Rattus norvegicus: one gene and its partner. The protein of the gene in region 2 interacts with the protein of the main gene of each other region in a biochemical or structural test. Links are inferred from orthologs where the notes say so. Each region holds a gene or a part of one and is shown on either strand. Other genes may lie near its edges. The genes, in order: Rps6ka5 and Creb1.

The links.
Region 1: of the proteins of Creb1 (region 2) and Rps6ka5, one has a biochemical effect on the other in vitro, tested with the Homo sapiens proteins (3 studies listed by BioGRID, with this or other methods). The link is inferred for Rattus norvegicus from reciprocal best matches to the Homo sapiens genes CREB1 and RPS6KA5.

The regions. Positions count from the first base shown.
Region 1 is NC_086024.1:125,575,077-125,578,902, forward strand, and holds part of Rps6ka5 (ribosomal protein S6 kinase alpha-5), read right to left. Parts: intron 3,043-3,826; coding exon 2,917-3,042; intron 2,536-2,916; coding exon 2,402-2,535; intron 1,801-2,401; coding exon 1,707-1,800; intron 481-1,706; coding exon of another isoform or gene 469-480; exon of another isoform or gene 1-468. UniProt on the Homo sapiens protein: Serine/threonine-protein kinase that is required for the mitogen or stress-induced phosphorylation of the transcription factors CREB1 and ATF1 and for the regulation of the transcription factors RELA, STAT3 and ETV1/ER81, and that contributes to gene activation by histone phosphorylation and functions in the regulation of inflammatory genes.
Region 2 is NC_086027.1:73,431,923-73,435,748, forward strand, and holds part of Creb1 (cyclic AMP-responsive element-binding protein 1), read left to right. Parts: exon of another isoform or gene 1-919; coding exon 920-1,062; exon of another isoform or gene 1,063-3,826.

The DNA of each region.
Region 1 (3,826 bases), on a different chromosome or scaffold from region 2:
AATAGGACTGCATAGATATTAGGATCAACTACCATGGGCAAAACTCTCAAGACATATTTCAACAAGTGAATAGCAGAATTATTATTATATTTATACTACTACATGTAGCATTAGATCATAAGAAAATTCCTATTCCAAGGAGTCTGAAATTTAAAAATTGCCAAAAATAAGCTTTTAACATAAATTTAAAAGCTAGGTATAGAATTCTTGAGCCATGATACTAGTCAGAAGTTCCAAGATCCAGTGTTTGGGCTGAGATTCAGTGAGGATCACAGCTGCAAAACTACAGGTGGGGTGTCTGAGGTCATCCATCAGTTTCTTGATAGGTGAGTTTTCTCTGTATCTGCATCAACAGGACGCTGTCTTTTAGCATGCACCTCAAATGGACAGGGGATTCACTGCTCCCATGAGAATCTGAGTAGGTCAACAAGGTAGAAGGCAAGGAGAGCATTCTCAAGAGTTCTTGCTTCAATAGCTTCTCTTCTCATGAGAACCAGAGGAAGGAGAAGATGATACCATTTTTAGATGTTTGTTATCTGACATAATAACCCGACTGTGTACCTGCCTCCTCTAATAGAGCAGAGCAAAGTAGTTAAAAGCTTGTTAGGGTCTGAAGTTGGAATGGTGGGGCTTAGATACCAGCCTTACCATTAACAAGCTGAACTTCTATGGGTTGTTTTCTGACATTACAGTGTTAAGGCAAGGACTAAGATAATACAGCAAAAGATTATAATGACAATGTGTTCCTGCTGCCACCTGATATCACCATGATGTTACTCTTAGTTATGGTACTCAGAACCGAGTCCCCAAAGCTACTCTAGTCAAGAATGTCACATCAACAGAATGATGTGAGTCTGGAAGAGGTTCTTTCTAGATTTTCACTGACTACGGATGCTGGAAAAAGTCTCAAGACTTTTAGGAATCTCAGGTCCTTTGTTGTTAAAATTAGAAGAAGGAAAAAACACGTTCAGGACTTGTTTTCACATTTGTGCCTTAATAGATAGGCATAGAAGGGTAACAAGCTGAAGTCCTGAGAAGGCTGTGATACCTGTCCACTGTCAGAGAAAAGAATACTGAAATAGCACAATTTCAGGCATGGGAGGTGACAATGCAGGGAGCTGAGAGGTGCTGTGGACCACCGATATTTCTATCTGTCCAAGTGACAGGCTTCTGTGTAAGACTTCTGTTGAGAAGCAGAGCTAAGGGTAGAAGAGAACATACAACAACCTGGCCTGGAGGTTGAGCAGATGCTGACACCTGGAACAAGATGAAAGGGAGCATTTTTGTCTTTCTGCTTCCCATTTGTCCTTAACTTGCAGCAAGTGGGCTTAAGAGTCAGTCTGTTTGATGCTAGAAATGTAAGGAATGTTGAAGGCTTAAAGTCACCAAGTACTGACTATGCATAGTTAAGTGAGGGAGATGGCAGCCTCACTCACAATAAGCACTCTGAAATCTGTGACAGTGGCTTATTGGGCTCTTCCCCTCTGGCATCCACCCATGCCAATATGGCAACCTAGGGAGGCAAGGTGAAGGAACAGGATGCAATGATTCAGGGGTGAGAGTGTGTGAGCTACCTTTTCTCCTCTTCCCTGAGGCTGGGTGATAGTCCCTGAGTTTCACTCAGCAGCACCAATAAAACTGGTAAGAAGCTGAACCCTGTATATGGTCTAGCCCATGTACATGGACAGAGGGAAGCCATGAAATACCTGGTCATGAAAAACTTCATGCAGCTTCACAACATTGGGGTGGCCTTCGCAGAGTTTCAGAGCTGTTATTTCTTTCTGAGTATTGGCTTCCATCCTGCAAGGTCAAATAGTCAACATTTCTATGTCTCTTCCAGCAGAGTCTGCAGCAGTGCTCCCTCCCTGTTTTTATTTACAGTGCACTCAGAATACTTGTGTCAAAGTCTCAAAATGACATATCCACGAAAGTAATAAGCATACCACCCACCAGGAAAGTAAAACTTTTTAAAAAGAAAATGACTCCCTCTTCATCAGAAGAGAGCTAGTCATACAAAGAAATGTATGTTCTTCCTGCTGACAATTTAGCAATGGTAATAACCCAGTACCAGAACAGCTAGCAGGCTCTGTTCTCAAAGCCATCAGGAAGCTTGTTGAATACTTTTGACTTCAAACATTCAACTAATAGAAGTCACCAAGCAAATCTGATTAAATATTTCATTACCGCAAGACAGTTTTCACATAGAACACAACAGATTCTGATTTGTCCAAAACTGTTTGACTCATCAGAAAACATTGGTGCTAGAGGTGCTGGAGATCAGCTAACATAGTAAATAGCCAAGCCTGTGTGTAAACAGCCTTGCAAGGGAAACAGCTGATTTCCTTCTCCAGAACCCCAAGTAGTATAAAGCCCCAAGAAAGACTGCTAGGACTGGCCATACCTTTTGCTGATTATTTTGACGGCAAAGGCTTGGTTAGTTTTTTTGTGTACACACTTCCGACAGATTGAAAAACTTCCTTCTCCCAAAGGTTTGTCCTTCAGATCTAGGTCATAGTGTTGGTAGAATGGTGAGTCCTGACGAAAGATCAACACCATTTAATTTAATAAAAGGTTGGTAGTAATACACAAAGCATATGTAAAGCTGCAATTTAATGTGAAATGATTAACAAATTTGAATGCAATATACTGAACCATTAGAACTCACTTAGTATATTTATATGTTCCTTACATTTGTCCCAAATATGCTGTCCTTTATCATGGTAAAAGGAACTCGTATACATTGAGATTGACAATCTTCTAGGGAAAACACTGCTATTTCCATGTATTTATTCATTTTTATAAAACTGCCTTTGGTTGGATGATAATCTAGTAAATTTTCTGGACTTAAGAACATCATTGAGTGTTTAAAATCCACACAAACCACAGATCCACACTGAGGCAGCCACCCCTAGGTACCTTCATCATTGCGCTCCTGGCAACGTTTGTCACTCCAGGGCGGTCTACTCCCATATGGAACTGAAGGGGATCTATGACCGCCGCGTTACGCTTGAAGAGGATGGAAGGAGCAACGAAGGAGTAGCCCTAAAAAGAGAAGGGAGGCTAAAGAACAGAGGTCTGCAGTCTCACAGCTGGGCAGTCTAGATGGTGACCATTTCTTTTCATAGAAAAAAAGTGTTCAGAAGAAGATAATTTTATTTTATTCAAAACACAGCATCGACTCAATAGCGAGTGCTTTTCTGAAGGAGATAATGCCATCTTCTGGCAGAAATAGCCCAACTCAAAGGAAAGACAGAGACTTCCTCCCTATTCCATCCCCAAACCTGACAAGCCTGTAAGCCTTTGCATTGCTGGTAATATTCTTTTATAACTCAACTGACCTCAAAAAAAAAAAAAAACCATCAAATAAAGCAGCCCAAGAATTATTTGAAACTAAAAAAATAACAAGTTTCATAAAAGTTCATCTTTAATTTATCAATTATTAAATTTGCATTCCATGTTTTCAGAATAACTAAACTTAAAATTGAGTTTTGGAAAATAATAAGCCCAGTGGAAGGATGATGTGATAAGCCAGAGTGATTAGTGACATGTGATCACTCTGTGCGAGCTTGGACATTTACTAGTTTCCCAACAAACACCTACACACAGTTGGGCATGTTCTCCAGTGCCGTGGGATAGGCAAGAGGCGCTCTCTGGATAGCCAGGGCAATCCACACTACAGGCACTTCCGTGGCCAGAGAGGACCAACCATGACACAGTTCAATAGGCAGAGTATCTTGTATCTGATAAAGAACCTTTCCCAAAATGATTCTGTACCATACAAAAGAATGTGTTTTATGTAACATTTCACACACAAATATACACATAT
Region 2 (3,826 bases):
CTCTGGATTTATTGATGGAAGAATTTGTTTGAAAAAGGTTATTTCTTCTCATTAACCAGTATGCTCTAGAGCAAACAACTAGAATGTGAATAATGTCTTAGCTGTGTATTTGGATTCTCATACAAATGGGAACTAGATTAGATTGGGAGACTAAATTGATAGTTTAAATTTCAACCATAATCCTAAATAAGGAATATTTCTTCATGCTACAATTTTATGTAGTTATCTATAAGTATATATAGAGAGAACCAGGCATGCAAGGTGTGTAACTGTAATCCTAGTACTGGGGAGGCTAATGCAGGAGGATTGTGATTTTCCTGAGATTCATAATAAGACACCTTCTTAAAAACCAAAATAAGCCAGGTGGTGGCGATGCATGCCTTTAATCTTGGCACTTAGGAAGCAGAGGTAGGCAGATCTCTTGAGTTTGTGGCCAGCCTGATCTAAATAGAGTGACAGGGTGAGTTTCAAGATACCAGGACCACACAGAGAAACCCTGTCTCGGGGACACACACACACACACACACACACACACACACACACGGCTTGGAGTGGGTAGAGGGAGATGGGTCTTCTAAAAGATTCAAATTCAATCCCCAGGACACATACAGCATCTCACAGCCATCTGTAACTCTAGTCATACGATATACAGTGTCCTCCTTTGGATTCTGCAGGCACTAAACATGTACAAATAAAACACCCTAGCGCATAAGATAAAAAAAAACAAAACATATGTAGTTTTATTTATTATCCACCACCACCACCCCCATTACCATCACGCAATTCTTGCATTTAAAGTTCCTACTTTGTTTGGAGTTTATTCATGTGTTTGAATTTTTGTCCTATACATTAGCAGTTTCTAATCTTAATTTGTACTTAGTGACTTTTTTTTAATTAAAATAGCTCCTTATTTTTCTAGGAAAATTTTGAATGACTTATCTTCTGATGCACCAGGGGTGCCAAGGATTGAAGAAGAAAAATCAGAAGAAGAGACTTCAGCCCCTGCCATCACCACTGTAACAGTGCCAACCCCGATTTACCAAACTAGCAGTGGGCAGTATAGTGAGTAATACGTTTTTCTATTATGAAAAGTGAGAAGGAAAACTGTTAGGTTCTCTTTAAGGAAATGATAAATGCCAAAGCTTTTGCTGGCAATATTGTTTGCCCTACTGTCAGACATTATTGAAGAATTGTTAAAAGGCATTTATGGGAATGTCACTCTCTTTTTTCTTTTACCCATTCCTGCCTTCCACCATGTTTCTTACATGATTCACACACAAATTACTATTTTTAATTTTAGCATGGTGTTGGCTTGCCAGCCTGTAATTTGTATTCCAGCTGTATTTAAAGTGGATTCCTAAAGCAAAATTTTTAGTTTTTCCAACACGGAAACTTTTGGTATTATTTATAAAGAAGGGTAATTTTTTAATATTTGCTAGTTTTATTTATGAGTGTGTGTGTGCCTGCATGGGTTTATATGCATCACATGTGTGCAGCAGTTCTGGGAAGCCTTTGGATCAGATCCTGTGGAGATAGAGTGACAGACAATTGTGAGCCACCTAATGTGGGTGCCAAGAACCAAGCCTAAGTCCTCTACAAGAGGATTAAGCGTTCTTAACCACTAGGTCATCTGTCTGAACACTAGGGGTGGTGTTCTTGATAAATTGTCTTTACTGTCTGTGATAACTGAGCTAAATAAACTTAGATGGACTTTTTTCCTTAAACTATTGGTAGCTGTAAAGGGGTACATCTTCCCCACCCTGGCCTGGCTCTGTGTCTGTATGTGTGTGTTTACATAGCTTCATACCCAGATTATTTTAAGTGTTCAAGATGGTTCTTCTCTGATATTGTACAAGACTTCTCCTCCAGCATGAACACACGGAGGGTATAACCTATCCCTGTCCTAATTCACTACTTAGGGAGTTTCGCTTGAATTAGGAAAGAAAGACACACAGGAGCTGATGAGGAGGATGAATGGATTGCCTACCATTCCCTTAGATGCTTCAGTTTAAACGTACTAGTACTTTGAGTTTTCTTAAAGCTTTATTCACCTTATATACCATCCTTTTGTACATGCATGTGTGCCTTTGATGAAAGTGATTTAGCATTATGTTCTTGACTTTTCTTTTCCACTAAGAAACAAAGTACTGAATACTCACATGTATGGCAAACTGCTTATTTTGTAACTTGTTTATTTAAAAAAAAATTTTTTTGTTTTATGTGTATGAGTGCTTTGCTTGCATTGTATATCAACAGCACATGTATGTGGTGCCTGTAAAGGTTAGAAGAGAGCATTGGATCCCCTGAAACTGAAGTTACAGGTGGCTGTTAGCCACCACGTGGGTGCTGGGAATTGAATTTGGGTCTTTTGGAAGAGTAGTCAGTGCTCTTAACCTCTTAAGTCATCTCTGCAGTCCTGTGTAAACCTCTTTCTCATTCTTTCCTACTTGTATTCATCCCTCCTTTTTCATTCTGCTTTTTTCCAAAAGCTGTCCTTTACAGAATCTCAGCTATTACAATTTAATTGTATTTAGATTATTTAAGTTAAAATTTAACATAATTATATTTCTTTGTTCATATTTCTTGGTAGCAATTTAATTATACCTAGAGATAATGAATTTATTTTAATGAATTTGGTTTTGTCAGAACTATCTTATACTTTTAAAGTAATCAAGTGTACAAATAAATATTACACAGTTAAAAATGTTTAAATCTTAGATGAGACTTTTATTTTCAAAGAATTGTCGTGTGTGTGTGTGTGTGAGACCTTACTGTTTAAAACAACTATATCTGTTACATAAGAGCAGATGTTTTTAGATTTCCAGGAAAAATAACAAAATCAAATGATCTTAACAGAGTAGCCCATATCTTTTCCTTCCATTCACTTTGAGGTTGTTGCTGTGTAATCAAGAAAAAGTAGAATGTTAATTAAATACACTTGAATTTGCAAATTAACTCCAGGAGAAATGAAGATTTGATTTTGATAACCTTATGATTCTTTAAAAGTCCTTGTTCCCCGACCCTCTTCGTGTATTTTTATTTTATGTGTATGGATGTTTTTGTGCACCAGATGTGTGCAGTACCAGCAAAGGCCAGAAGAGGGTGTCCTGTCCCCTAGAACTAGTTGCTCATGGCTGTGAGCCTCCCTGTTGATGCTGGGAATAGAACCTAAGTTCTCTGAGAGAGCAGCCCTATCTCCAGACCTTTCCAAGTAATCTTACAAAGTTAATCGTAGAATAATTCATAGACATTTTTTAACATCTAAGATAGTAAAATCTGGAATTAGCTAACATAGCATTATATATGCTAGTATGTTAATTTCCACAAATTTATCACCTTGATAAAGTGACTAATAGTCATGAACTCATAGCTCTTGATTGAACAGTGAATTATCCATTTTCTGTGCGCATACCACTCAGGATAGTATAATTACCCAGAGGTCACCGATAATCCTAAATTAATTTACTTCTGTTATACAATAACTTAATTAGGTACATTGGTACCACATTTTTTTTTTAACTTTCCTTTTAATGCAATTATAATCCATTATGAAGAGCTGGGAACAAACCTCAGTTGACAGGGTGTATTCCTACCATGTGTGAAGGTTTGATTCTCAGCACTTGCCCATCATATGCGCGTGCACACCAACACACACACACACACACACACACACACACAATTTATGAAATTGCTCAGGTAAAATTATAATTTTTAGGTTTTTTTTTTTTTTTGAAAACTTGATCCTTGGATTTATCTGAGGAGTCAATCATATTTTTCAGTTCCAGTATCCAAAGATCATGTATTTCAAACAAGATAAGAACTTACC